Linked DNA regions of Drosophila melanogaster. The protein of the gene in region 1 interacts with the protein of each later gene in a pairwise test. Each region holds a gene or a part of one and is shown on either strand. Other genes may lie near its edges.

Region 1 (10,110 bases):
TCGAAATTGGCTCTGGGTATAAAAACAATGGTGTCATCCCTCTGCTCAAACAGTTGGCATTGCAATGTCCATCCAGTGGCTAAAACACATTCTGCTCCTGGCAATCCTGGTCAATTTGGCCGGGACACGGGAGAATCACATTCCGTTAGATTTGAAGAAAAGTTCGATCGTGATGGTCAAGATGAGTCAGATCCTCTGCAAGGCTCGGATTAAGGTCCTGTTCGTCTACTTCGAGAATCAAACCTCCCACGAGCATACGGGTCAAATACTCAAAGAGGTGACCAAGTGCGACATATCGTACATATCTCTCAGGCAAGTTGATCATTTAATCCCATAACAATACTGATAACATATAATAACCACAAATATTCGAATATTTTACTTTCAGGAATCAAAATACACCACTGGAGGCGGTCAAGGATGATGGCATACTAATGTACATGGTGATGATCACCACAAACATATCACAACCATTGGAGCTTTCACTTATCCGGAAGAAATCGGCTGCCAAGCATCGATCGCATGTTTTTCTCTTGGTCAGAGATGCGGATACCGTTTCCGATGCTTGGATGCGGGCCAGTTTCCGGCAATTCTGGAAGATATGGCTACTGAACATCGTGATCCTCTACTGGCGAGATGGACGACTGAATGCCTATCGGTACAACCCGTTTATGGACAACTATTTGATACCAGTGGACAATAAACCAAACGAGGTTCCAACTTTAGAGCAGCTTTTCCCAAAGACCATACCCAATATGCAGAGGAAGCCGCTGAGAATGTGCATCTACAAGGACGATGTGAGGGCAATCTTCTGGAGACAGGGAACTATCTTGGGGACCGATGGCCTGCTGGCGGCCTATGTGGCTGAGCGACTGAACGCGACCATGATGATAACGCGTCCGCACTCGTATAACAACCACAATCTCAGCTCGGACATATGTTTCCTTGAGGTGGCCAAGGAGTACGTGGATGTGGCCATGAACATTCGTTTCTTGGTTCCGGATACCTTCAGGAAACAGGCGGAAAGCACGGTATCCCACACGCGTGATGATCTTTGCGTGATTGTGCCGAAAGCCAAGACTGCTCCCACTTTCTGGAACATATTTCGCTCATTTGGCTCATTAGTTTGGGCCCTAATTCTGGTTTCTGTTCTGGTGGCGAATGTCTTCTGCTACATCCTGAAATCTGAAGTGGGTAGGGTTCCCATGCAACTTTTCGCCGGAGCCCTAACTATGCCCATGACCCAGATTCCGCCAAACCACTCGATCCGATTGTTTCTGATCTTCTGGCTTTACTTTGGACTACTTATATGCTCGGCATTCAAGGGAAATCTGACCAGCATGATGGTGTTCCAGCCTTATCTACCCGATATAAACCAATTGGGTGCGTTGGCTAGGTCCCACTACCACATCATCATTCGTCCAAGGCACGTAAAACATATCCAACACTTCCTAACCCTGGGACACAAGCACGAGTCCAGAATTCGGGAACAAATGCTGGAAGTTTCCGACACCCAGATGTACGAAATGATGAGGAACAATGACATAAGGTATGCGTGTACGTGGATTAATTGCTGTAATTCCATAAAATCTACTTTCGCAGATTTGCCTATTTGGAGAAGTATCACATCGCCCGTTTCCAGGTGAACAGCCGTGTGCACATGCACCTGGGTCGTCCGCTTTTCCACCTGATGAACAGCTGCCTGGTGCCGTTTCACGCCGTTTATATCGTCCCCTACGGTTCACCCTACTTGGGTTTCCTGGACTCACTGATCCGGAGTTCGCATGAGTTTGGATTCGAGCGATACTGGGATCGCATCATGAACTCCGCCTTTATTAAGTCTGGAGTAAAGGTGGTAAACCGTCGACGCGGGAGTGGCAATGATGAACCGGTGGTCCTCAAACTGCAGCATTTCCACGCCGTATTCGCTCTGTGGCTGGTGGGGATCGGGATGGCATGCATTGTGCTGGCCTGGGAGCACTTGACCCACAACTACAATTTGGCGGTAACAAAGCGGCGGGACTAACTATCGCATGCAGCATGCAATGTGAGGCGGATGATTGTGTTGATGTGGCGTCCACTTACCTGGGTCTTCTCCTCCTTGTTTCGATTCGCTTCCTTCAGCACGGCAATCTCGTTAGTCAGTCTTTGGATTTCATAGTTGATGAGGCCATCGGCGGTCACATGTGCACCACTCGATTCTGGGCCCGATTCGATGGCCTTCTTTATACCGTTGCTCTTCTTGGCCATTTCCAGCGTATGCTGCAACTTCTTCACTTCACTCTTCCACCGACGACTATCTGCGTCATTCTGAGCCCTGGGTTGAAATAAAAAAGCGATAGATTGCATTTTTTAATGTCTCTTTAAATTCAAAAGATCAGATCGAAATGGGTTTTAATATCAAACGTGTGACTATTCTATCATATTTTATATCTAGATGAAACCAGAAATATTTAAATGTAATCTTGAACAAACTGATTGCATGTATATTTATTTCCGAGTTTACTGATTGCCAATCGTCACTTTCATGAAAGGTCAAATATGTTTTCAGTGCACGAATACTTTTAAAACGAATGTATTTGTATTTGATAACTCAATTTAAAAAGTTTCACAACATTATGCAATATAAAATGGTGCGATTAAGGTAAAATGAAATGGGCTTATCACGTTCCTTATTGGTATATATGTATATTAATGGACTTACCTTAAGGCTCTCACTGCACCGCGTTCTGTGATCAGACTGGACTTCAGTTCATTTACCTCCAGACGCAGTTGCTCCGTGAGGGCATTTAGCTTCTGGATGGTGTCCATGTTCTCCTGCAGTTTTCTCTTGATCCTTTGTGGAGGTGCTGCTATCACATTTGTGGTAGTCACGCCACCAATTATTACGGGTCGTTCTCGATCTTTTTCTGCCTTTCCCAGTTGCTTCTGGGAGCCGGCAGATGGGCCCTTCTCGGCCTCAAAGGATTGGGTCTCCTTGGGTCGCAATTTGCCGCGACAATGCAGCTGGATGCCCTCGATGCGAGTGCGCTTCTCCTGATTCACCGTATCCCCAACGGAAGTCAGGGAGCTGCTCAGTTTCTTCTTGCGCTTCAACTTGTTCTTGGCCATCGTTTGCCAGTCTTCGATATCGTGCTTCTCCGTGTGGAAGCTCTCTTTGAGTTTGGAGCCAGGATCCGTCCGGCGGACCACAGTCCCATTGTGGGGCGCCAGGATATGGGCGGTCCTGCTCATTGTATTACATCCCTTGCTAGAGGTCGTTTTGGTTTGGTTTTCAGCCATTTTTATGTAACTTTAGTATATAAAAATGTTGCCGTCGTTTTTTTTTGGGTTTCTGCTTTTTCAAGTACTGCATATGCCGGTGCACCCCGATCCTGCCGAAAGTCCCTGCTATACTTCACCTGGTCATCGTTGGATTCTCCTCAATCTGTAAGCGATATATTCAAAATAAAGTATACAATAATGTGGCTTTAATAATGCTTTAAGCATATACAATAAAAGCCCTACTCTTATCTACTTATTACAAATTATGCCTTGAAAAATTACACAGTATACAGAATTCCGAGTCTTTGCCCGCATGGAGGTTGTTTCTTCAGAATCGCAAAGATTCCCCTTTGTCTGTCAGCATTTCAATGGCTTCTGTTTAGCCGTAGACTCTTCAACGCTTTTCTTCACTGGGTTGAACTAATCAACAAGTTTCCCCCATTATTGATTTCAGCGGAAAAGCTTTTTCCTTCATTTCGCCACATCGGGTCGGGCCACACATATGAATGAAAAACGAAACATATAGGCACCCTGGGACTGGGAAATAGTTTACAACGCCAATTGCGTTGGGCTTACCAAATAAACTGGTCCGGAATGACTTTTCTTAATGACGTCATGTGGCGCGCCTTTTGGAATAGAACAGAATATGTACGTACATTCATATGTACATGTGTTTTTTTTGTTTTGTGAGGTTCCCCACTGGGGCGCTTTACACGCAATAAAACCGCTTTTCATTACTTTTTTTGTTCTACAGAAACAGAATTCTTTGCACTGCTCCCACATCCGCCCCAAAGATTATAACAAAGCATCTATATATATACTGTATGAGGTGCACACACGAGTAGGCCCACAGTTCATATGTTCATAGAATGCTCTCCGAGATTTCTGGCCGATCATCTTTATCAAGGCCACGATCTATATACACATGTAGAGCGACAGATTTGTGTACTTAGCAACCTTCTGGCGCCTAATTGGAATTTGATTTGTTTTTCCAGCTCGATACACTAGGTGTTAATAGGGAGGGATCTTAAGTGAGTGGTGCCCAAGTTTATTACTTTCTGGTTATCAACATAAATTATAAGTAATTATTAGTAAACTTTATGATATTGACTCTTGGACGTATTTCAAAACCGAACTGTTAGTGGAAAAACTACCCTAAAAGAGGTGTTCGTTCCAAATGTATGTAATATTTATTTTGTGGCTTTTCTATAAACTGAAGGACTGGGGCTAATGATGGCTCTCATGTTGCATTTCATTTAATTAAATTTAAAACCGCCCCCAGTCCACTCGATAATAAAGTGTTTTTGGGGTCGACATACACGCCATGGTGACATCACAGCCTCGGTGTGACCGGCTTGGTTGGGATTGGTTTTATACGAGCAAAGCCACCCACTCGATTGCCATCCACATCCACAGCCATCCACATGGGCAGATGAAAGTCTCTTTTTTGCTCTTTAAGTATGTATATTTTCAGTCATATATCAATTTGAAAATATTGCCAAACGATGAGTCGGTCAGCCGTCGAGTGTACAGTCTGCGGCTCTTTCGGCTGATTCACCGAAGATCACGTATACGCACCATTAGCTCTGAAATCCTTGGGCGTCGTAGACCAACAGTTGGTGTGCCTCAAACTTCTGTATATGTTTATTCACTCACTCACTCACTCACTAAGTCGACCGACGATGTTGTAATGTAAACAGTTTATTTACTGCCTGCTTGCCACTGTTTCTTGCAGTGTAATGACGTCAATACGTTAATTTTCAATCAACTTTTTTCGCGCACAGACCAAGTAGAATATCGTCGGTATGTGGAGCACTTCTTCGACAATTGTTAAGCAAAGTATGATATATTTTTGTTCAAATATATTCACACAGTTCGTACAGGAAGTTCGAAATTATATCAATTAAGTTACACAAGTTCGTCGGAATAGAAGTGAGTTATGTTCGGTTCGTTTGGGGAGTATCCTAATTAGTTGCAATCAATTTGAATTGTAAATTAAAAGAAGTGTTCTATACTAGGTAAATTTCGTTGCTCGGCGATAGCAGAGATCTTTCGTTTCGGCCGGACACCGATTGACTAACTCGGCCTCTCGAGCTTTCGCAAGCTCTTTCACATTTGCCTCCATTTCCATTTAATTAAAAGGAGCTTTGCCATTTATTCATGCACTTCTTGGGGTTATGGGGTGGCAAAGCTCGGGTCTGTGTGCGTGCCCCGAAGAATGGCCGACGTGAAGCCGGAAGAGCCCATCTATTGAAAGCCGAAGATGTTTTCCTCCCGGTTCCCGACTTCATAACAAAAAAAAACCAGTCGCGTGTTTATTAATAACCAAAATATGCACACAACCCGCCACGAAATTGGTCAAAATAACAAACAGTGAAATAAAAGATATCGGAACTTCAGGTTGATTGGATATTAATTCGGTATAAGTTTGATAAAGTAATGATAAAATTCAGTTAAATTGTTATATCTGTGTAAACATTGTTATAAGTACTTCCGCATGATTAAGGCGCGTTGCTCAAACATATATCAGCACAAAGCATTTGTGCTAGTTTAAGTTTAAGAGCAATCTGAAGACGTGACATTAAAGCTGTTGAAACGTGCATCTATTATTATATGTTTAGACCAGAAGTAAATAAATTTGGTAATAAACATACTTGCAAAACATTTAAGTTGCTCAACTTTTTTATAGTCTTTTTATGGCAATTAAAATTTCATACTTTTAATTTCGATTTAAATGCCAAACGTATTGCGTATGAATATCTTTATGTCTATAATCCCCAACAGCTGAAGAATCTTCACAAATCACATACAAATTTGACAATCGCCTTAACGACGCGATGAATGATGGACACAATTAGAACACATTCCGATTCCAGTCAGTCAACACAGGGGAAATCTAAATAAAAGCACAAAAGGGGAACAAACTTTGCACTTTGATTTGAGTGCCTTATCGTGTGGGAGCCCCACTTCACTTTTCTTTTTCTTACTCACTATTTGCATTTTTCATAGTCGGTTCAGCATCCTGATTTGTTTCATAATCACTCGGCAATTGTCTAGTATCCGGTTAGTATCCATTGGCATCCCTTGTGGTTCGATGTCGTCGTTAAGAGGAGTCTTGGGCAACTAAAATTCCAATTCCACATGACCGAATTAGATTTAGAATGCTTTCTTTCATTTAAACCTATTTGCGGTTGAATGTTCTGGCGTTTTGGCCTTTCAAATGACTCTTCTATTTTTCATTTAATTGCTGCTCGGTGCACAACTCACTCAAGTTGAGCGGTAGGAACAAACTGAAGATGCGGCGCACTTTCTAAAATGGAATAAGCGACATGCGTGCGTGCATCGCCAAATTTATATAAATAGAAGGAATCACAAATCTATATTTGAAGTTGGGAGCAATTTCAAAAAACCGCTCGCCGGTCAAGAGTGACGTCATGGAGCCATCGATAACTTTTTCGATAACAACTACCAGCTGCATATCATATTAGTTTAAAATGTTCATCAAAAAGTGTGGAAACTAGCTTTGTACCATAAAGTTAAAAAATCGCAAGATAGAAATAAATAGATAGTTTTTTATGAGTTAGGATTTCAAATTTCATTGTAAAGTGCGACTAAGTCCCCAAACGTTCACACTGGCTGCAAGCATCGATTAAATACAAAATAACAACGATTAATCGATTGGCCCATTACTCATCGCGGAAAACGTGAACGAAAAGCAAGTTGCCGCCTGTCTGCTAGGAACTTTATTGTTTTAAACTGTAATACGTGCTAAAGGCCAACCCCATCACATAAATATGGTAAGTCCGGCTGGAAATAATCCGAGGCTAACCAAGTGAATCCCAATCATGGACTCGTCCGCGAGCGGCATGAGATTGTAAACATAACCTGCAAAGAAGCTTCTCGCAAGCCGACGACATCTGCTGACTAATTGGAGACTTTTACTATATATTCGCCTTATATCCGTATGATCCGCAGCAACCGCAAATCGTGCTCCTCAAAGAAGGCACTGACTCGTCGCAGGGCAAGCCGCAACTGGTGTCCAACATCAATGCCTGCCAGTCGATCGTGGACGCAGTGCGGACCACTCTGGGTCCCCGCGGCATGGACAAGCTGATTGTGGATGCCCACGGCAAGGCGACGATTTCCAACGATGGAGCCACCATCATGAAGCTGCTGGAGATCATCCACCCGGCGGCCAAGACCCTGGTGGACATTGCCAAGTCACAAGACGCCGAGGTAAGTGATTGGCACCCCTGAGACGCACGTGACACTGCTAAAGCTTTGATTCGACTTCTCCTTCAGGTGGGTGACGGCACCACGTCCGTGGTTCTGCTGGCCGGCGAGTTCCTTAAGCAGGTGAAACCCTTCGTGGAGGAGGGAGTGCACCCACGAGTCATCATTAAGGCCATCCGCAAGGCCCTGCAGCTCTGCATGGAAAAGATCAACGAAATGGCCGTCCAAATTGTCGAACAGTCCAAGGACCAGCAGCGTGCTCTCCTTGAGAAGTGCGCAGCCACTGCCATGTCCTCCAAGTTGATTCACCAGCAGAAGGACTTCTTCTCCCGCATTGTAGTCGATGCTGTGCTCTCCCTGGATGAGCTGCTGCCCCTCAACATGATTGGAATTAAGAAGGTGACCGGTGGCTCGCTGGAGGAGTCACAGCTAGTGTCGGGTGTGGCCTTCAAGAAGACCTTTTCCTATGCCGGCTTTGAAATGGCCCCCAAATCCTATGACAACTGCAAAATTGCCCTGCTCAACATCGAATTGGAGCTTAAGGCTGAGCGCGATAACGCCGAGATCCGCGTAGACAACGTCAAGGAGTACCAAAAGGTGGTCGACGCCGAGTGGCAGATCCTCTACAACAAGCTGGCTAAGATCCACGAGTCCGGCGCCAATGTTGTCCTCTCCAAGCTGCCCATCGGTGATGTGGCCACACAGTATTTCGCCGACCGCGACATATTCTGCGCCGGCCGCGTTCCCGAAGAAGATCTTAAGCGCACCATGAAGGCTTGCGGTGGAGCCGTAATGACGACGGCCAACGACATTAAGCCCAATGTACTCGGCCTGTGCGAACATTTCGAGGAGCGCCAAGTGGGCGGCGAACGTTTCAACCTCTTCCAAGGTAAGAATCTTATTCGTATACTTAATTGAAGGACTCGTTTTAACAACCACTTGTTATTTTCCATTTTAAATAGGCTGCCCCAATGCCAAGACGAGCACCCTTATTCTGCGTGGCGGTGCCGAACAGTTTCTGGAGGAGACTGAGCGATCCCTCCACGACGCAATTATGATCGTGCGGCGCACCATCAAGCACGATTCCGTTGTGGCCGGCGGCGGTGCCATTGAAATGGAGTTGTCCAAGCTGCTGCGGGACTATTCGCGCACCATTGCCGGTAAGGAGCAGCTGCTGATTGCTGCCATCGCCAAGGGCCTGGAGATCATTCCTCGCCAGCTGTGCGACAACGCCGGTTTCGATGCCACCAACATTCTCAACAAGTTGCGCCAGAAGCACGCCCAGGGTGAGTGTCCAATGGTATTTGTCCATACAAAGCCACCTTAACGATGAGTGAATTTGAAATTTATATTTGAAAGGGGGAAGGATAAGTTTTTATTTTAAAGAACTTGTGTGTGAAACTTTAAACAAAAAACATTTGTTCCTCTTAACGAATGATAATCCATTTTTATTCACTTCGTCCAATTGTCTGTCTGATTACTTTTTTGAGCTGCTCATGCCAGAGAAGGAAGCAGGGTTCCTGGCATAGACCCGGCTTATCGGGACAGGTGTTGCACATGTACCTGCTGAACTGCAGCATTCCGCCTTTGTGGCAATAGCGGCAGTTTTTCTTGGCCGGCTTCCCGTTCTGCTGGATAAGCATGGGTTCGTGTAGAATGGTCTTCAACCTGGGCTCGGGCACCGGCTTGTTCTTTGACCGTTCATATGTCTCTGGCTTCTGGATACTAGTTACCGGTTCGTTCGTCACTTCTTCTCTTAGAAGCGACTTTATGATGATCACCCGGAACTCCGAGTAACTTTTAAGATGTCCGACTCGCGCATTCTGGCCATTAGCAAAGTATAGCAAATAGGCATTGTACACGAGGATGTTGAGTAGGAAAATGGTCAACTTTATGTTTGCCTTCAGCTCCTTGCAGGCAGCTTGGTAGTGGATCAGGTGGTGGCGACCGTCGTTTCCAGGTCGTAGTTGAAACTCGAGCTCCTGGATCAACTTAGGTTTTGCATTTGTCTTTTGCATGGCCATCTCCTTGGAATAAATGGCCAAGCAGTCAGAGCTGAAGCAGTACAAGCTCTTTGCCCGTCGTCGCCATTTGGCCATCATCAGAGAAGTGGCATAGCTGGTGGAGATGCTGTTGGAATCCAACCGCTGGTGCACCAGTGCCTTACTGTTGCCATATCTATTCCTGTCCAGCAGACCAGTGCAATAGGTGCTTTTCTTGGCCAACTCCTGAGCCAGGCCGTAGCTTCCATAGAACTTTGAGGTGTACACAGTGCGTCCTCCATGGTAACCCTCCATTAGTTTCAGGACAATCTTGTTTCGGTGCTCCACCAACTGCCGGGAATTGCGTACCCATGCCGGTGCGTCTTCCTTCCGCACAATCTCCGGTAGAATCTTCACCACCAAACCGCTCTGCTCAGTTAGCATATGCAGCAGTAGTGCGTTGGTGCGGAATTTGTTTGGAAGTTCATCCTGGTATCTTAATGCACCCTTCCACAGAGTGATAGGTTCATTGAGCACCAGTTGCTGGCCACAAATGTATATCTCTTCCATACGCTCGTTGATAAAGTCTAGCAGTAGAGAGTTCTTCACTTTGGCTCTGCCCGCTTGTAGC
Region 2 (11,448 bases), on another chromosome or scaffold:
GCGGAAAATCGGGTAGACCCAGGGAGTAAAAGTAAAATGCAGGAGGAAGCCCCCCAATCATCCGGCCATGCGATTACATGTGTGAACTATCGATTGAATTAAGACCAGCCGGAGCGGCTGGGGGCGTATGCGAGCCACTTAAGCGTGTCGCTCGACGCCGCTTCCTCCTCGTCCTCGTCCACTTGAGGAGCATCATAAAAAAACGCACCACCCCGCACCGCAGCAGATAGGCCAGGAAGATATTCCGCACGCCACACCATCCGATCCCATCGCTTCACTGAGAGAAATCTGATATTTCCTCGATTCTATGTTTGCTTTCAAGCAAATTGCTGCCTAAAACATAGATAATAGTTTGGTTTTTTTTTTTCAATTACATTTATTACAGAGTAAAATGATTATGAATTAAAAAACTTATTGGATATATTATATAAAAAATCATAACTTTTTGCTGATACATATAACATTACTCATAATTTTAGATATCACTCTGCAAAGGGCCTTTTTTACATTGAAATATGTAAGCAAGTTTTTTGTTAAACATGCCATCTGCATTATTGACCTTCTTGATACTTATTTAATGATATTTCCTTTCTCGCAGTGTATGTCTCATCAAAGCCGTCACACGTCGCAGTGCAGGCATAAAAAGAGTGTCCCGAATGCACAGCATAATCAAGCAGTGAGTGTGAGTGCGTGTGTGGACCATAATAATGTTGACAATCATCCCAGTTGTCCGAGATGGTTTTTACTCCGGGCTCGGGATATCTGCCCCTAAGCACTGATTATGCCCAAGATGAACTTAGCCCATGGCCATGACAATTTACCGATTGTCATTGCCGTGTCTATAAATTTCATTTGACAAGATGCCGGGCTCTCAACGCCGCTGCTCCGCTGCCCGCAATCCCAATCCTCAGCTCATCCACTCTTGTGACATCCACTCAAGCTGCCTGTTCCCGGGACTTTGCTCGTGTCTGCCCTCCGGCTCAGAATGTGAAGGAGGAGCTGGGGGCAAGGAGACTCTCTGTCGCCGGCGATTTGCATCAGAGTTTCATAATTATTGTTTAATCTGCACTTGAAGCCAGAGTTCCGAAATGTCGCAGACCTCAATGAGAAATGGGATCAGGAATCGCTATCGGATTGGTTGTGAGCCAAAAGGTCTAAGTGTGCTCTCGATGAAAGTGACAAAATAATGGTCGGCGAATATTAAAAATATAATATTGCTTTGTGCCACTCAGACGAGATAAGAGATGTAATTCCTGGCAGAACAAATTGTGTTTTTTTTTTTTAACAAAAAAGAGTAACTCAATAAATCAGACCAGCTATGAATCATAATAAATGCATGAAATTTAAAGATTCTTTCTGAAAAGATACATATGTATGTACATTGTCTTTCATTGGATGCAATATTTGTTCTTTAATTTATATTATTTACCTCTGAATGATTTCGATAAGAAATTGTATATATATTTGAATCAAAGTCTTTTCCAATCCAGCCAGTCGCTTGATTCCAATTTCGGCCACAGTTATTTCAATTTTTATTGCATGCTCGGAAAAAGCGAAATCCGAAACTTCCTGCTGGCCGAGAATTAAGCTAGAAAAAAAATAAGTAAAGGGCAAAAGAAATCAAAGAAAAATGTCCACTTGATGGCGATCGCCATCACTTGGGCCAAAACAAAAAACCCGAATTTCATCAAAAATACTTGCGCAACTCTTCGATCGAGTGGTTTCGTCTGGTTACATAAGCTCCTAAGAGATTTGGGTTCTTGGTAGGGCAGGAAACTCATATAATCAAAATAAAAATAACAAATTCAGATTCTGAAAAAAGCGTAGCGAGGCGACACCGCAAAAGTGAATCGAAATTGAAATGAAAATAAACAGGCCAAAGGAAACGATTTTTATTAGGGATTTATTACGGTTTGAAAATGCAGATATGTAGATACGGCCCTCTGATTATTGCCGAATTACGCCGCCCCAACTGAATGCTGGACTGCTCCAAAGTTCCAACACCGCCCCCTCCCCCTCCTAGGGGCTGATGCTGATCTCCTCCATGTGGACGATTGTAACCCAATGCTGCACTTCAGCTGGAGCTCCTACTACTCCAGAGCTCCTGCATGCGCCGTTACGCGACCGAAGTTTGTTGACATAACTTATCGAAGTCCAGAGGGATCGGGATCGAAGTGTTTATTTTGATTCTTAAACTGTTGCCCGCGGGGGTCGTCGTCGCTGGAAGCCCATTTATCCATGCCGACAGACCACACAGAAGATGCCACTTCTCGGAAAACGGCGAGATGAAACCCAAAATCTATGATGCAAGCTGAGACCCACTCGGTGGTTTCTAAAACCCAGATATGAATATGAATGTGGCATGGGGACAAAATAGAATACAATTTGAATACTATGAAAAACTGAGCATTCTATATTTTTACGATCTTCAATGTTTAAACTATCAAGCATCCAAAGAAACGAACGTAACTCTCAGTTCATGAGCATTCAATGAATCTTTTAATCCGTATCAATGTTTACAGTTGCACTGAAACTGAAATCTAACGTTTACTAGTTAGATTGCAAACCTTTTGGCTGGCAGGGAAGCGCCCAAGAAAGAACGCACATAGGATTATTCATTAATTTAGATTTATTTATTACTAAATTGTTTTATGCACACTTATCAACTACTCACAATTGTTTTTAGTTTGTAATTAATCTTTAATTTTCCGGCTCAGTATTCGCGTGTGTTTCTTCTAGTTCCACAAAGACAGAAATCTGAATGCATTCAAAAAATCTTAAATTTACATCTTTTCATCTTTATACGTAAGTGTGTGGGTGTATGTACATTATTTTCGATCATCATTTTCAGTGCTCATTAAATTGTATAGGACTTTGTTAGTTTGTTAGTTTACTTCAGTTGAGTTTGTTCTTCGCTTCGATCCAGTTTCACTTTATACATCGGTTCTTCCAGCTTGCGGTGTTTTAACTTAATACAACCTTTAGTTTTATTAGATGTATTGCTACTGAAGGATTGGAATTTTTGCGGGCGGTGTGGCTAAAACGGAAACGGCAGGGGAAGCACGGCCTCTAGAACAACTATCGCATCTATGATATTATAATTCGCTTCTGTTTCGCTTAATACTAGTAGGGAAACTAAGGCTAGAACTAATCAACAAATAAGCGTGTGTTACTAACTCGTACTTTGTAATAATTTAGCGATTGATAATCAGAAGCCGCTAGTTAATTTACCTTTTTGTTTTTGTTCCTTGGGTTTATACAATGTTTGTCCTTTATACATACGAGTTCCAATTAGTTTTATTTATAATCGATCTTTGCCTTAGTCAAACTGATAATCAGCAAAAGTTCCATCCAAACACGCTCTCTCTCTCTCTCTCGCACTTTACTTTCTATCTCATCTATCTCAATCTCTGTCGATCACTTTCCAAGTTCTCAAACTGATATTCATCGGAATTTATTGTCGCAATCAGAATAATGGCAAATTAAACGCTTAAAAACCCCTTTAATAAATTTCATAGTAACATAGCTAAACAGAATTCTGCGGAAACCGCCTAATTTTTCAGCATTATTGATTAAATGGAAATGTTTTTAAATTAATGAGGGAATAAATATCAACAGTGGTGGTAATGGGAATGCACTTCTCTTGAAAATCCAACCTAGTTACTAAATTATTTTTAAGAATACACAAAAATAGGGACAAACTTACAATAACGCGTGGTATAACACAAATCATTTTGAATGTATAACAAACAGAATTTGAATTCTGACATCTAACCCCTTGGAAACGCTTTAACAAACTCTTTTTGGAAAACATGTTCTTTCGAGTGGAGACTATTTGGAAAACATTCTTGGAATCAAACCAATTTACCTTATACATTGTGTCTAGGAAAAGCTCTTGGAAATGATCAACTCTTTGTGAAAGTACCTTAAACACGGAACGCTCTCTACTTAGTTGACCAGCTGCTGGGGATTCCACTGTGGACCCCGATGCTGGAGATGAAGTTGCTGGGGGTGCTGCTGCTGCTGCTGCGAGGAGGAGGATGAGGATGCGGAGGAGCCGCTGGCCACCGCCAGCTGGCGTCAGAGGTAGAATTCCGGAGAGCTTTGGCTATCGCCGCCGGCGGTTGCACCTCCCGCACCGACTCCGCCATTTGCCGCCCGCTGCAGACGCTGCATGAGGGCATCCCGCTCCTGGCAGACCCTCGAGTACTCCAGCTTCAGGCGGTGCAGATCCTGGTTGAGCACCCGGTTGGCCTTCTCCAGTTCGTGGCGCTGATGGAGTCGCTTGGACCGGCAGTTCTGGGCATAGCCGCGATTCTTCAGGGTGCGTCGCTTCTGCTTCAGACGCACTACCTCCTCCCGTGGGCAACCATGGAGCCGCTTGTTCAGCTCCCGCACCGTCAACGTGGTCAGCATGTCGTCATTGAGGCAATCCTCCAGCGTGGCATTACTGTAGGCACCCGAACAGGTTCTGGGCGACATGTTGTTCGAGGATCTGGTCGAGCTGGCGGAGAGCGGGCGGCACGGCTGAAGGGCAGCCCGTGTGATGACGCAGGAGCCGCCACCCACGCTGCCGGGTCCACCACTCCCGCTTCCACTGCCTCCTCCGCCTCCGCTGCTGCCACTCCCGTTGCTGGGCACTTGGGGCAGACAGGTGGGCGTCAGGGCACCCGAAGCACTACCGTACGAGTTCGAGTGCATGTTGATGGGCGTCAGTTCCAGATTGTGGAAGTGGTGGTGATGGTGGTGCGGATACTTGCTCTGCTGCAGCATCACCTGGTGGGGATGACCGCCGTGTCCATGCGGATGATGCTGCGCCTGCATCAGCGGCTGTCCGTGATGGTGGTGATGAGCTGCCGCCGCCTGCAGGGCGTAGTCCCGCTGTCTGTCCCACTCCTCCGCCTCCTCCTGGGAGCCCGGATAGGGCAAAGGCCGCAGATCCAGCGGCTGCTGGTCCGCCCGTATCGAGTTGGTCAGCCACATCATGTCATGGCTCAGTCCGGCACTCACCGATGCTGCTCCGGCGGAGGCAGCAGCTGCGGCGGCGGCGGAGGCGGATACGGATACGGAGCTGCCCGGTGTCCTCGCATAGTGGTGTGCGTAAGTCTGAGCCGGACAGCTGCTGCTGCCCGTGGGCGAGCCCACTACTGGTGGCGTTTCCGGCGGCGTTGAGGGCACTCCGCCCGGAACGCCCGCTCCCGAAGATGTGTTCACCAGAATCGCCTGTCCGGGCAGCGGACCATACTGCTCTGGTGGCGGAGAGAGCGGTTGCAGGCGCCGTTCGTCCATGTGCCACTGGTGATGGCCGGAGAAGGACCTCAGCTTGATGTGCGGCGATGGCGAGACCTCCACTGCTCCGGCGGGCTCTGGTCCGGACAGCGGCAGCGAGTCCGGGTCATCGTCCGGATTCGTGGGATCGCCGTGGATTGTCGTCCATTTAACCGCCACCGGCTGCGGTGGACTGTGATCCTCGCGCTTCACATGGCCCAAAGTCGTGACCTGGGACGCGGCACCGGCTCCATGCGATTGGCCAGCTCCATTTCCGCCCACCTCCAGGTGGTGCAGATCAAACTCCTGAACGTACGTGTCGTTTATGGTGGGATCTTCCATTTTCATTGGATCGACCAGGGACCGGAGAGGGTCGATTACGGGTCTCACATGCAAGGGAGTGACCGTGCTGATTGGTGGGTGGTGGTTAGTGGGTGGTTTCAAAGGTCAACTACGCGATCGGGGGTCACGGAACCAGGCACTGGCGCTTTCGGCCTGCGGCTAAGTTTTATCTTGATCTCAGGATTTAGGTTACGTTTTTTTTTGGGGTTACCCCAGAATCTGTTAGATATTTACTTCGATGCCGGTTTCTTAGATTTCGTTGTAAAAGATTGGATTGCTTATTTATGATTTAAAATGTAAGTATGCTTTTATTAAAGCGATCACTATCCGCACTTTGGCGCTTAATTCATTTGTAAGCTCGCTCTCTTTCCAATTTTGCTCACTAATTTCGCGAACGCGCTTTTCGCGTCCAATGTGAAAGAGTTAACGGTGGCGACTGAACTCCGTGTCCGTTTCAACTAAGGTCGGACTGAATCTGACTGGAGGGTGGCTCTGCTCTGGAAGCTCTGCTCTGGATGCTCTGTTCCCTTGATGATAACTGTTAGAATGGCAGCGCAGCGCGCGCACACCCACACACACACACCCATTCCTTTTCCCAACAGCCGACAAACAAAACGACTTGCCAAAACCAAAAAGCCGACCAGCCCAACAACAAACAAAACCGAGCTCGAACGCCATTCGCTGATGCTTTTGCTTTTGGTGCGAGGGAACTCCTGTTGGAAACGTGGAAATGACGGTTCTAGAGGAAGGAAAGAGGCGAAAGGGCGGGGAGGCACTTGTCCGCAAGAGAGAGAGAGTGCCTTTCGTTGTAGTTGTAGTTGTTGTTTGTGCTTTTGCCGGCAGCTGCTGCTCTCGCGCACAACAACAACAAAAGTCAAGCCGGGAAAGCTTCGTAGATTCGATGCACTGCACAGTGGGATAAAAAATTGCAAATATAAAATAATTTCATTCGTACATTTTGACAAGTTTAAGTTGTCTAAATCAAATACAATATTTTATAGCTAAAGGACTAACTTTGAACTTTGAAAAAGCGATTATATTTTGATCTGCTTTAAATGTTACAACACTTGAATATCTATACAAAATTCTATTAATTTCACGTTCTTTTTTAAGTATTTTAAAGAAATTTAGACCTTTTCGTGGAAATTCAATCAATTCTTAGCTAAAATCGCTTCCCTTGACTAACAATCATTCTGGTCAAAGAACATTACTTCACCAATAACAAATATGTTGATGTTGTTAACAGTCTAAAAAAGCGACTTAACAAGCCAGAAAATTGACTGCATTGCCTTATAATTGGACATGGAAAAACATATTTTATGCATTATGCTATATACATTATTATATACTATATACATTATTAAATTTTATATATACTGATGAGCTATTTAATGTTTAAATTTCGGAACATGTAGCACGTAAGTAATGTTTCAGTAAGCCCTTGATACCCAATACCTCGACCACTGTGCAAGAGCACAAATCTATGCTCTGGGATTTCACTTTGTTGGTGGTGGAATGGAACCGTTGGTGTGGCTGCTCTGCTGCTCGGTTTATTGTTTGCGTTTTTGAATTGCCATGGAGCGCATAAAAAATGGCACACATAGACACACAGACACACTTTATGCTGTCGTCGACTCCGCCCACTTTGCCACTGTGTGCGCGTGTGTGTGTCGGTGTGGCTCTCCCCATCTGCGAGTGTGTTGGTGTCTGAATATTTATGAGCAACTACCACGGAAATTCCCGCATAGCCCCATTTGCCGACTTCCAGTCTCATTTGGCTGGCCATCCACACGAAGTCGGTGATGGAGGTGGAGATGGATGTGCCCATATGTACATACATACATATGTATATCCACATAGGAAAGTATATGCAGGAGTGGGTCGCACAAGCACAGGCACATCCATATCCACGTCCACATCCACGTCCACTGTTCCATTTTCCAGTGCATAAGTCAATGGGAGATGTTTTAGCCGAGATAAGTCGCTCGATTTGTTTTGGCTCGTATATAATACACTGCCCACTCCATGGGCATGTGTGTGTTTGCTTGGGCCAAAGGATTCCATGGTGCACAGGTGCATTTTTATGCTGATCCAGCGGAAACGGAGTACAGAACTTAGGAGCCTCCGACGGCCCAACTTGGACACGGGGCGCTCTTGTTTTACTTTAATTTGAACCCCTTTTTTCTGACTTTTTGTTTTGAGCAAATGTTTTGTCTTCGCTGGCCAAACAGATTGCTCTGATGTAATATTGTTGTGGGATATCGAAAGGCTTCTGCTTTGTTTGTGCAACAAGTTCTGGTTCGCCAGGAGGGGTGGGCAGTATGTGGAAATGTGGGCTAGCAATGCCAATCCACCTTTCCTATTACCAAATTTAAAATTTGAATATTTTTTGGTTAAATATGCGACATAAGATCTGAGGTACTTAAAACCACAAAGATAGGGATCTCAAGAAGGCTAGCATATGTAAAGCTATTTTAAACGATTTCTTCCATTATAAATAATTAAATTCAACAGAATATTTAGAGCGTTGTTTAAAATTTGATTCACTGCGCTTAATAATATTTTTGTAATTTTCTTCCGTAATAATATTCAGCAAACAATAATTTTCAGTAACATTAAGGCTATAGCTACATATTCGGGAAAATATATATTATTCTATTACCCACATTTTTATAAATATTTATTTATTTAGTTTTGGGATTTCTCGTTTAAACTTTTTCTATTCACCAGTGAAGCGTTTCAATGAACTCCTTCCCAAGAGAACTATTCCGTATTTGGTTAGCTTGCGAGCCGCAAAAGTGACCACAAAACTTTGTTCCACTTGCTGCGACAACTGGGCCTTGTAGTCAAATCCTCCCACCCATCCACCCACCTCCCCCTTGGCATTTCAGGCACACCCATTCTCCACGCAATTGTTGTGTCGAAAGGAATCGGCAAAGGGGCGGAAGATGGCAGAAAACAGGACTCTTCCGTAGTCCCTCAGCCAGCAGGAAAAACATAAAACAAAATCAAATCAACTGCTGTGGGTGGGAAGAGCGGGAGAAAATGCAAAGGGAAATGTGGGGGAGGGGTGGTGTGGGGAAGTGAGTTCTGGGCTTCATTGAAGCTTGTCAAAATTAAATTGAACACAATCGAATTATCCTCTGTATGCTCCATTTGGTTGTCTGTGCTGATTTCCAGTAGATGCGGGGATTGGGGCGCTTCGCTAGACAAAGACGAACAATCGACGATAGAAAGAGACAGCGCGATAGTCCGGCAGGAGCATCACTTAAGCATATTAAAAAGGGTTAAAGGTGTGCAAATATTTACCGGCGGCCAATTAAAAATATTGTTAATAATCAACCGAGAATCGAGAGCAGTCAGTTGGCTGGAATTGGGGCTTTCGGCCACGTGTTGGCAAACTTTTCGGTTTCTTATTTGCACTTAACCCCCATGCCTGAAAATATGCAAAGATACAGATGGAATAATACAGTCATATGGAATTAAGGGTGTTACGGATCAGAAGGCTAATATAGGGTAATAAAGTATTACTAATCAAAATCACCATACTTCACAATCTTAAGTTGTATGCATAATATTGATACATGAAATCGCTTATATGTACATTCCAGAAATACAGGTGTAAATGGCGATTTTCAAAATCTTCGGGATGTGTAAATGGGATTTAACGTTGCATACCAACTAAGTTCGTTTTTCCTATTTTTTTTTTTAATAATATATTATTTTCGAGTTCTCAGGTATGCCAGCCACAGTCGTGTTACCTCGCTCTTAAAGCCCCTCATTTGCATCCGTTCCGAACTTCGAGGGGATTCGATTGTCAACTGGCGCTGAATCCGAGTGCAAATATTTGTGCGCGATTCTTTTCAATTGCATTTCAATTGTTGCCGCTGATGATGATGTGTATGTGGATGTCAATAATGATTTCCTCCCGCATCGAGTGAACGCATTTGACAATGTTTATTACGCCGGATTAGGCAGCATTACAACTTACTGGGGAAAAGGCGCTCTAACGTGGTCGCCATCCTGCCATGTGGTGATGTGATTGATTGTACCCGACAGTCCATCCCCATCGCCCCCGGAATCCCGCAGATCATCGCCTCAAGTGCACTTTAAGCACGAAGTATAGTCGTGTTTTATCACGAGCGTCTCCTGGTGAATCTACAAAAAATCGATTTTGAAATGGCAAATAACGTTGACATGTTCACGTCAATTTACCTTCCGTACCCCGGTGGAAAACCAGCCACCACCTCACTTTCCATCCACATATCTCAGCGGGAGTGCAACTCCATTGGGGGTCTCCTTTGTGTTGTTGCACAATGAGTTTTTACGCGATTTATGCTCCTACTTTTCCAATACAGCATTAATGACTTGTGACGGAGGATCAAGATAGACTGGAAGTTAGTGCATGTGCACCAGTTTTAATTTTAGGATGAGACTCAAAATCACTCATTTAAAAGCAAAAATTCTCGTCCAAAAGGCTAGCTAGCAACCTTTATTTCTAGGAAACATACATACTTCTTAACCTAATGTTGGCCTTTTAAAAAACATAGAAATTAAATTCTACAAAACTATTTAATCAAGTAAAAAAGTTATTCGCTTTAAGAAATTCCTATTTATTTTTTAAAAGCAAATTCTAAACACAAAATGTCCCTATGATGTTTCAATAGCTCATAATCACACATAATTTTCTCTGGCACACACACAGTTGGCAGTCGGTAGTGCAAAGTAAATAAATTTCGCAACCATTTATCACTTGGGAGGTCCTTCGCCGAGCAAACATACTTCGTCCTGCGGCAGGACCTGTGGTAATCGGTGTCTGTGGCAACAGAACCATAACGATCCACCATTTATGCAGCTTACACCTTCGCCTCGGGCCTGGAGTCGTCGTCTTCCGGAGTCAACAAATTGACAGCGAATATTTCAATTATACTGGTCTGGCCTGGTCCTTATTTATGGAAATCCCCCAAGCCCGAACAATCCTCACTTCGCGGGGCAGTGGGAAATTGACCCCCGTTCGGCACAGTTGATGTTTGTTTACAAATCGCTGGACATAATTTATTTGTTCCTATTGTGTTTTGCTTTTGGCCTGGGATCTGCCTGCCAATCGCCGCGTGATAAACCGCCTTCGGTGATAAGGAAACCCAAACGGGGTGTGAGTGAGGGGTTGATTCGGTCGGGGTCACCCTTGCCAGCTCATTAGGAAGCAATTATCCGTTTAGGGTTGCAAACATATCTTCTGGGAGAGAGGGAAAAATTGAGGTCAGGTACACTGTCAACGGATGTCAACGACTGTCAGTTTGACACTGCCTTCGGTGACAGTTGACAGCCGGGGAACGCCCTCAAATGTGTCTCCTGGATAATATGGCCAATTTCGGAAGTGAGATGCGGAAGCAGATGAGTTCGAATTGAGGAAGTTCTTTGGGGAATTTGGCTTTCTGCATGTCTACGGAATAATAAATCGGAGGTTATTTCAAGAGTAAATTGAGTTCAGAGCATACTAATAGAAGAGACACACAATGACACTAATTAGAAATCAAACAAGTACCAACTATGGTTCCCTTTAAAGTTAATAATCCAGCGAACTATCTAAGTGGTTTTAAATGGTTTTGGATACTCGTTTGCTCAATTTGTAATGACTTTCCTTTAGTTACTGGTCAAAAAGATTTCTGTCGTCCTCGGAATGATATATTTATGTGTATCTCGAAATCCCCAAGACATTGGCTACTTAAAAGACAGCACATGTTGAAGAAAACGAATCCTTTGCCCCTTCTGACCGCCTTCTTTGTTTTTCAATAAAACTCGAATAAATTCAGTTTGCCAGCCATAAATTATGTCCAG
Region 3 (9,938 bases), on another chromosome or scaffold:
ATTTTTATTTTAAGATGCAAATATGTGCGACCTCTTTTAATATTTGCTAAAATGTATTTAAAACTGGTGTTTTAAAGCAATATATTTAGCAACCCAATAGAAACAGCTGAGTTCCATTAACTGGAATCTCAAGAGATTGGGAACTCTTGCTTGAAGATTTACAACACTTTATTATTATGAAATTCCTTAATACCCGCAACTTAAACTGCATGGCATGAAAATCATCGCCACATACTTTGAATATCCAACATTGCTGGGTGGTACCAGCTCGCTCTCCACCTCCAAACCTCCAAACCAAGTCCCAGAGCCAACTATCCAGTTAGACAGCTCCCGGCCAGACAAGCGCATTGTTCGATGGCTTGGTCCAGACTGCAGTTGCAAGTGGGGCCAATCAGTAGATTGTTCAGTTAGGCTAGTCAGTATCCATGGCAACCATAGCCGCAGAAAAAAAAACCCCTCCATTGTTGACATTGCAATTTAACGGCGAGCTGCTTCGACTTTCCCATGCCAGACGCATAGTTATAATTATTTTTGTGTGCATTTCATGGCGAGGTTTATCTTAAATTTTCGCCACTTAAAGCCATTTTTTGCAGTCTTCAAGTGCGCTTAAGAAAACCAGCTCGGTTTACTTGGATCCATATATAAAAAAAAAAACAAACTTTCTTTGTTTAATTTGGTGCAGTTAAACATTTGAGCCAGCTAGTTTTAAAACAAATTATATTTTCAGAGCAGATTGAGGCAAGTTTGCAACTCTCGCTACTTTTGAATATGCATTTATATGTATTTCAAAATAAAAGAGCTAGTTTCCCCGCTGCAAATATGAAAACGTTGACTCACGACACACACACAATTATGAGCGCGGGGTAAGGAATAAGAAAATTAACTGTGCGAAAAAAGGGGCATCAAACACGGCAGCAACATAAAGTTCCTCAAGCGAAAAATTTACTCCAATGAGAAAAAAGGCACAACGACGATCGTTGTGTGGATGGAAGCGGCATGGAGGTGGCCACAGGGCAGGGGGAGTACTCCGTGAGGCACACAGCGAGCTGCGGGCACCGCCAAGCCAAGAATTCCAGAAACGACAAACAAAACAACGGCGGAGAGAAACAAGTTTTTCAGAGTATGCCAGCAGATCGCCAGAAAACCGAAAACTGAACTAAGAACTGAAAACCGAAAAACGAAAACTGAAAACCGAAAGGCAACCCCCACAAGTACACAAAAGAAAACGTATAGAGTCCCTTTTGTGGATTACGATTTGATAAGGATTTGGATATTGTCTGTTTTCTGTGTCCCATAATTATAGGGATATTGCTCTAAAAGTACCAATTCCACTGCTCGTTTCTTTGAGTGTAGGGACACGTAACAGGAACGATCCGCGATGGTGGTAGCGATGGTGGTTGCTCCACTTGCCACACCGAGATCCTTCGCAGACCGCAAATGTATGTGCCCAGCCACCTGTCGTTTGAGCATTTCCCATTAGAGAAAAGCCGCAAAAGGAGCGGCAAGCAAAGTTGGTTGAAGGCAAGGAAGGAAAGGAAAGGAAAAGGAAAAAAAAAGATCGGGCCACTTTCGACAAACAGGCGGCGCACGACCAGAAAAAAAATGCCTAGTAACAAATGGCAATCAACAAGGGGAGCGGCTATGGAAAAGCAAGTGAAAAGCGAATAGTTAAGGCCACAATTTCACTGCACGGGGAAAATTCATCATCGGCGTTTATGGGCGCCTGAGGTTTACTGTGAAGTGAGTTGCAATCATATCCAAATGTGGTTAGGCCAGCACGTTATCTTCTTATTTTTGCACATTTAAGTTGGGATTTGATTGCATGAGGATATAACCTATTATTAGCAAAAGAAAGTCTTAACTGTTAGTACTAGTAAGCATTGATAAAAGCATGAACAGTTCTTCAGAAACTAGCAAGTTATGCTCGAAGTAAACAAAATCATCTTTTTTTCATGCAAATTGATCAGCAATCATGGAAACTAGCTTTCAACAGTCGAGTGCCAGATACATTTGCAAATATTTATCTTTTCACGCACGCCTCGCTAATTGCCATCGATCAGAGATAAACTTTCTATCGGGTAATGAAGCAAAGTGGTCAATGCCATGGGCAGAAATTGGAAAAATGTCAATGGGGGAGATAAATAACATTTTCAGTCACTTTCAAAATTCGCACCTTGTTTATTTCTGCTGCCGTTTTGAGTTGTTTTGCTTATTTATTTGGCTCGAAAACGAGTGTTAAGCGAGGGATCGATGATCAGTTTTGAGCATCCAAGTGTCGAACACTTTCCATTTTTATGGTGATTTTCGTTGTTTCTCTTTTTTTTTCTGAAAACGCGTATTTCTGAACACACATGCACATACACTTGTCAACACAACTGAGAGTTGCAGTGGCACTTGTTAACTGTGGTATTATGGCCAAGTTTTTGAACTTGTTGTGGGCCAAAAACCTCCTGGAAAACCCGTTGGAATCGCCGAACGACGTTACACACCTGCGACGATATGTGAAACGAGTTGCTCGTTTTCCATTTAACGCTGCATTCAATTGCAATTCGATTTTCCCGCAACGCGAACCGCACTCCACGGAATATCGAAAACAAATGAAAACTGAGGTGGCGCGTTGAGTTGAGTTGGAAAACCTGTTGCTGCCAAACGACGCACACAGATGCAAATGCTCAGCGACAACAAGCAAATGCAGTCTATTTCGTCCTTTAAAAGGCACTGGAAAGTCTCGAACTTCACTGTTTGGGTAACATGAAATCTTTAGCTAAACGATTGTCTCAACTTTAATTGCAAATTAATGGGAAACAAATTAAAAACACGAAACGAAAAACAAAACAGAAAACAAAATAACGCGACGCTCAACACGACTGCTTCGCAGGCAGTTATCGACTGATGCTTATCGGTCGATATTCACCACACCTAGTATGACCACAGGGGCGATACCCTTTGCTTGGCGCCATTATCGATTTCCGATCGTTATTTTCAAATTCGAAATATAAACAGCAAACCTTTAATAATGCTTCAATCAGAAAACATATAAATCAGGAAAAAATAAATCGTATTTTAAAATTATCAGTTTATTTATTAAATTCTAAAGTATATACCCGCGATGGAAGTTGGTGGTAGGCATTACATAAAATGAGCATCGCACCTCCGCTTGATATCACTAACCTTTTGTAGTTACCCTAAACAACGAACTCGAGGAAAAGATTTCGGAAGCATTTTGCATATTTGATACTCATGGCGATAAGTATATTGATTCCCGCAATGTCGGCAACGTGCTCCGATTTTTAGGTTGCGCGCCCACCGAAAAAGAGGTCGAAGATGTCATTAAAGCCACCGATTCCGTCGACTATCCAGGCGAAGCCCATTTGGTGAAGTTCATGGAACACGTTTCCAAACTGCTGATGGATCGACAGTTATTCAATATACTTTAGGTTTGTTTAGCAACTAACGATATTTGTCCACAGAATGGAACCAGCCTCGTCGGAAAAGCTTCTCGAGGCCTTTGAGACCCTGGATCCAGAAAATAAAAAATATCTGACCAAGGAGTACTTCGGCAAATTAATGGCGGAGGAAGGAGAACCTTTCTCCGCTGAAGAATTGGATGCTATGTGGCCTGTGGCAATTGATCCCATTACTGGACACATTCCCTACACCTTCTACATAAATCAACTCAGGGTAAGATCGCATTTCCCAACTACTTTTGATTGGATTCATCTAAAATTTCCAGCACAAGCCTGATATCTATGAAATTGCCGAGGTTATCAAGGAGGAACTAGCACAAGCCGAAAAAGAAAAGGGCAAGAAACCACAACAACCACTGTTTTAGATGCCCCTTTAATCAAGCAATTGCAAATAACGCGGAAAATAAATTTATACATTTTATAACAAATAATTTCCTTTCTCGTTTTTACTGTTCCACATTGAGATATAGACGGTCACACTGCCATGCGCAATTCGAGATGGCATAGTCGTTGTTCTATGTTTGGATATTAAAATGAATTGTGTGAAAAATTTAAGGAACTATTTTTTGTTTTAAGATATTGCCTGAAATGTTACAATATATTTATTAAATCCAATAAAAAAAAATTTACAATACATTTAAGCGCTTTTACAAATCATCGTTGCTCTAAATTAACTGAATTTGTAATCGATAGCCCGATACGTGCTGCTCCATCCCTCATTACCCCAACTCTTCTAGAAAAACACGTCAGCTTTTCACAGCCATTCGGAAAAGAACACGTCAGCAGAAAGGAAAACTGGTCGGTCGATATTGCAAAGGTGGATGAGAAAATTGCGTGAGACGGAGCCAGAAAAGCCCGAGTCGGCGGCGATGAAGAGATTCAAACCAGCAGAGCGTCCGAGAAGCGCAGTCGAAGTTCATGAGACGACCTAAAACAAGCAAAAGTTAAAATACGCTCTTACAATGCAAATCTAAGTGGAAAGTCGCTTTTCACAATTGCACACAGCACACAGCAGTTTATCATTTAGCCCCGAACCAGTTAAACATGGCACCCACAGCAAACACAGTGCTAATTACCGTGCCGCGGACAGCAATCACATCGAATAATCTGCCCAAATTGCGGCCCGCCCCCCTTACGGCAGCTCTGCTGAAGGTGTCGGCCACGCCCTCCGCCTCGCCCACGCCCTCGAGTTCGGGATACGCATCCTCGTCGAACATGGATGACGATAACATGGCTGCATCCCAGCCCAAGGCCAAGAAGCGTCGCCTGGACCATCTAACCTGGGAGGAGAAAGTGCAAAGAAAGTAAGTCCACCCAACTTTTAACCAAATTTGAGCGCCTTATTTAACTGTTATTATCGAACAACAGGAAGCTAAAGAACCGTGTGGCCGCCCAGACATCGCGTGACCGCAAGAAGGCACGCATGGAGGAGATGGACTACGAGATCAAGGAGCTGACAGACAGAACGGAAATACTACAGAACAAGTGCGATAGCCTGCAGGCCATCAACGAGTCACTGCTGGCCAAGAACCACAAGCTGGACTCGGAGCTGGAGCTGCTGCGCCAAGAACTCGCCGAACTGAAGCAGCAACAGCAGCACAACACCAGATGCATCAGCCAATCCAACGCCAGCGCAGGCGCTGAGGGCTGTGCGTCCACCAACCTTGGATCTGCAGCATCCAAAGCTGACCCTCTGCCGCAGGGTATACAACAGGTGGACACACAGTCGTCAGCGCGTCTGCTGGCGGAGCAGCTGAAGAGCAGCAAGAGCCTGGCCTCACTCTGGAAAGTTGTGGCCCTCTGCCTACTCTACAAGACATGCTTGGCGTCGACGAAGAGTTCGACGTCAAGCGCCTCGAAGAGCTGGCCGAAAGTCTGCTCGCAGATATCACAGCAGACCTGGAAACAGGCGCTGGAGCGAGCAGCCCAGCTGCTGCCCAAGATGCAGGCAACGCAGAGCGATTGCCTGGACCAATGGTGGGGCCCGCAGCAGAGCGCTTGGAATCCGACGGGCATAGAGCTAATGGCCTGAATGTTGAGCAGGAACAGGAAACCGAGCACAAGGTCAGCCTAAATGTGCAGATGTTGAAGATAAATGGAAACCCACAGCATACCACAGCAGCGCCAGCCTCGAGAACAGCCACAATCACAGCGACAGCGGCCGCCTCGCAACTACAGGCCACTCCGGACACAGTGTACGGCACGTATGATGCCAAGACGAACTCGATCACCATCGTGATGGACGGGGATGCGGTGCCGGTGAACGAGGCCGTCGAGGAGATCTACTGTGACGGCGTCAGCGCTGGCGACGACTCAACGGACGTGATCATGAAGTGTCCGCCGCCAGCGACGTCTCCGTCACAGGTCTATCTCAACGTGATGAACGCCGTCGACAATTCGGACGACGAGGAAAGCTTCGATCCGATCGACCGATTCCTACGTCCGCGCGTTAAGGCGATCTCCCCGTTGGCCAAATCCCCCGCATTGTCTCTACACTCGGCCACCTCGGACCATGGATACGAGTCCATACTGGGCTCTCCCACATCCGTGGCTCTCACTCTGCCCGCAGATGAGGACGATTTCCCCTGGGAGAGCAACTTTGACGAGCTGTTTCCCAGTTTGATCTGAGTTTTTCAAGCTGAAAACTTCGTTCTGTCTCTCTTTTATTGTTAAGTTTGGCCGGCCGCCGTTTGTTTAAGTTTTTTAGTTGATAGGCTGTACATAAATTCATAATCGAAGGCTTTATATATGATACTGTAGTTAGAGCGCTAAGTTTAGCTGTAGGTTTCCATTTATATTTAACAATCTCTAACCACATAGGCTTATGATTACTCTTATATGTATGTATTGTGCTCAAAGAATTTGAAAAAAAAACATTTGACTAAAAAATATTCAAAATATAAACCAAACCAAACAACAAGCTCTTTGTTTTTGTTTACTCTAGGCGAAACAGAACTTTGAACTGCGTATGATAAATAGTTAATCACGCCACTTCTCTAGCATCACGCCACTTTTTTATGACGCAATTTCTGCGTAGATGATGGGACAGTTTTAGGTGTAAGCATATGAGTCATTTTGTTTTTATTAACCAAATATATATATATTACAAAAAGTGAGTTGAACTGACTGCAGATAATGCGGATAGGTGAAATAAAACCACAACTATGCTCTGAAATATATGCACCTTATTTATTAGTATATTATTCATTAATAAGACGAAATACAGCTCTGTTTTTCTCCAAACTGAACTAGGATTTAAACAAGATTTTGCTAAGCTCGAAAAATATATTTTTTAAAGAATATAAATAGAGCCACCCTAATGCGCCAGCAAAAGCGAATTTGTTTCGGAACTAGTTCGAAAAAGTTGTTTATAGACTTGAACCAGTTTTTGCTTACGAACCACATACCTGTGATTTTGCAGAAAGATAAACAATTTTTAAATGCAATAGAGTGTACGGTTAAACAGAAATGACGGAACCAACGAGCAAGACACCGGATGCGGTTCCGGAATCACCCGTATCACTGCCCATCGCCTCCCAATCCATGGATACGGCGACCATTGAAGATTTCGACGAGGACAAACCGGCCAAGGGAAAGAAGAAAGCCAAGAATCCAAAGGGTCGCCACTCGGATTCCGACATCGGCTCCGAACTGAAGAAGCTGGCCCAGCGCCGGATCAACGTAGCCGGTGCTCCAAAAATGCCACTTAATGGCTACGTCCGCTTCATGAACGATCGACGCGAGGAACTGCGACGGGAGCAGCCACAACGTACTGCCCTGGAGCACACAAGGATCATCGGCGAGGAGTGGCATCAGCTGCCCGAGGAGCGCAAGTTGCCCTACATCGAGGCAGCCGCCAAGGACAAGGCCATGTAAGCTCACACTTCGTTTCCAACCCACAAAATCTAAACATATCTTCCCATTTTCGTAGATATCAGGAGCAGTTGCAAATGTTTCTCAAGGAACACCCCGAAATTGTGGCCAACGAGTTGGCCAAAGCCAAGAAAGCCACAAAACTGGATGGTTCGCCCAAGGAAAAGACGCCGAAGGGTGAATCAGCCTTGGGCAAGGCGAAGAAGACCAAGGCAAAGCCGGTTAAGCGGCAGAGCGAGGATCCGGATGATGTGCCTCTGGCCAAGGTGAAGCGTGCCCAGACACCACCGCCTCCCACACCGCCAGCGGCTCCAGTACAGCCCCCTCCCAGCAGCGTGCCACCTGCGACACCTGCACCACGACCGCTGCAGCCCGGCGAGATACCCATCTACACCAACGAGTTCATCGAACACAATCGCAGCACGGAGAATGAGCTGAGGACGCTGCGCAAGGCCAAGACCGATCTGGAGCAGCAGAACGCTGTGCTGGAACAGCACGTAGATAATACGAAAGCCGGGTACGCCAAGGTGATGGGCGAGGTAACTGAGCTCATGGAGGAGAACCAACGCCTGGAGACCTATTTGCGCGCCTTGCGCCAGAAACTGGTCGCAGCTCTCGGCGGAATCTCGATGCCACCACTGGAGCCAAGTGGTCCCAGCGTTGGCAACATTGACAAGTACATCCGGCACTTAGCCGGGCTCGTCACTCAGCCAAGCAACGTCACTTTGATTAAGGCACGAGAGGCGCTGCGTAAAGTGGACACCAGTAGCTTGCTAAAACCGTGATTCATAGTACAGTATTCATAGCGTTAATAACTTCACCATAAACAATAGTCATAGTCATAGAACAATAGTTATCAATGCCAAGGATATCAAAAGAGAAAACCGAATAACAATAAAATATCCGCAGCATTTGTATGTAGCCAAGTTTTGGGAGCGCCCACTTTTGTATTTGTTAACGTCTGTAAGTTAGGAGACTACTCGTATGTACCCAAGAATATCCTCATTTTTAGTTGTCCTTGGGAGCGTCAACGCCGAGAGCGAGGCTGCGATGAGAGGGAAAACGTGGCACTTTACGTGGTCCTGCCGTGATCAGTCCGGCATCGCCATCCACGGAACTCTGCAGCCTTGGCGCCTTGGTCCGACGATTCAAACAGTTGCGTAGAATATAGTAGCCTCCCAGCATCAGGGGAATCACCATTACCGGGTGACACGCTATCCCAAGCACAAACAGAAATGTGGACATCATCAGGTTGATTAGGGCCTCTGTGGATCGGGTCGTGCCGATTGAGTAAGGCGAACATGGTCGTGAGCGATACACTTACGTTCAATGCTCGAAATGGTGGCCACTGTTGTGTAGATCGCATACGAAATGGCTTCAAGCACACTATAAATATAGTAGATCAGCATTTTGGATTTGTTGAATTTCCTGGTGGAACTGAACTGCTAAAGCGATTCGGGCAACTGGGAAAAGTCAAAAAGTACAACTGAAGCAAAGGTTCCTACGACTATGAAACAATAAGAAAAACTAAATTAACTAAATTAATCAAAATAGAATTTATACTTGCTTCTCGCAGCGAAAGGTTTCTTTATTATTAAACAAAATAGTCGACGTTTCACTTCGCGTAAATAAACTAAAGCGTTTCTCTTAGTTGTTTTCGATTTTTTGTTTCTTAGGAACAGCAGAACTAAACAAAAATAAATTAAAACTTAAAAGAAAATCGTTTTTCGTTTGATGTTTGTTTTCAAAAAGTATAGGTTCTAAATTATAGCATACATTTAAGGTTTTATAACAAAAATAATTTAATGAGATAATAAATCAAGGGCGCAGACTTCAAAAATATTCCATTGAATCGTTGGGCAAGAGGCAGAGGTCGTGCAAAACTCCTGGCATCTCCCCAAGATCATGGCCATCACTTCGGTTGGTCCAACTCTGTCACAGCGTTTGGTAAAAAATAGAAAACATTTTACATAGGATTTTGGGGGGTACTTCCTTGGCTTTCTTCATGAATTAAAAAATATACGAATCGCCATTTTCATTTTGTTATTATTTTTAGAAATTTGTGTTCTGTTCTTATCGCTCTCAAATGTTTCTCGAGTTCTCGAATCATCTTGTTAAAGTAATCATGTACTTTTCGTGTTAGAGGGAGTTTACTAAATGTGTATGTGGTGTGTGGTGTGGTGGCGGGCAGCCGATTTAAAACAGTGCTTTAAATGATCTGAGAATATTGAAACGGGCGGTCAGTTATGTAAGGAAATTTCTGTTTGGAATGCCGAATTAATTGAGGAAATTGGATTTGATTGAACAATTTGAATTTTTGGAAGGGGGGGAAATGTTTAGCAGTTTTGAGCTGCATTCATCAGTGCTGCCTGCGCTTCTGTGGCGGTGATTAAATTTTAAAGGAAACTGCTTATTTATATTACGGACATTCAGATATTGTATGCAAACATCTTCTTGGAACCGGCACCAGGTTACGGCCTGCTCATCGTTTGCTGTGGCGACGGTTGTTTGCGTTTCTTTTCCCTAATTCATATAAAGTATAATAATCTCAAACTTGTCGTCGCAGATGCATGTGCGAGGACGACGACGACGATGACG

The links.
Region 2: the proteins of Pif1A (region 1) and tj come close enough for resonance energy transfer, tested with the Drosophila melanogaster proteins (one study listed by BioGRID).
Region 3: the proteins of Pif1A (region 1) and Xbp1 come close enough for resonance energy transfer, tested with the Drosophila melanogaster proteins (one study listed by BioGRID).

Annotation. Positions count from the first base shown.
Region 1 is NT_033777.3:8,794,620-8,804,729, forward strand, and holds the start of Pif1A (PFTAIRE-interacting factor 1A), read right to left. Parts: upstream 6,558-10,110; 5' UTR 6,256-6,557; intron 6,161-6,255; 5' UTR 6,075-6,160; intron 5,326-6,074; exon of another isoform or gene 4,843-5,325; intron 3,428-4,842; 5' UTR 3,283-3,427; coding exon 2,705-3,282; intron 2,348-2,704; exon of another isoform or gene 2,318-2,347; coding exon 2,086-2,317; exon of another isoform or gene 2,027-2,085; coding exon of another isoform or gene 1,603-2,026; intron 1,550-1,602; coding exon of another isoform or gene 389-1,549; intron 298-388; coding exon of another isoform or gene 65-297; intron 1-64. Other genes in the region: Ir85a (ionotropic receptor 85a), read left to right, coding at 65-297, 389-1,549, 1,603-2,026; CCT7 (chaperonin containing TCP1 subunit 7), read left to right, coding at 7,059-7,061, 7,240-7,500, 7,567-8,386, 8,460-8,783; CG9839 (uncharacterized protein), read right to left, coding at 8,946-10,110.
Region 2 is NT_033779.5:19,458,924-19,470,371, reverse strand, and holds tj (traffic jam), read right to left. Parts: upstream 6,106-11,448; 5' UTR 5,617-6,105; coding exon 4,081-5,616; coding exon of another isoform or gene 3,949-4,080; 3' UTR 2,614-3,948; downstream 1-2,613.
Region 3 is NT_033778.4:21,139,366-21,149,303, forward strand, and holds Xbp1 (X box binding protein-1), read left to right. Parts: upstream 1-4,183; 5' UTR 4,184-4,511; coding exon 4,512-4,771; intron 4,772-4,835; coding exon 4,836-5,499; coding exon of another isoform or gene 5,500-6,095; 3' UTR 6,096-6,385; downstream 6,386-9,938. Other genes in the region: CG9406 (uncharacterized protein), read left to right, coding at 3,110-3,122, 3,181-3,418, 3,471-3,681, 3,734-3,832; Hmg-2 (high mobility group protein 2), read left to right, coding at 6,936-7,339, 7,399-8,125; CG15657 (uncharacterized protein), read right to left, coding at 8,349-8,605, 8,665-8,749.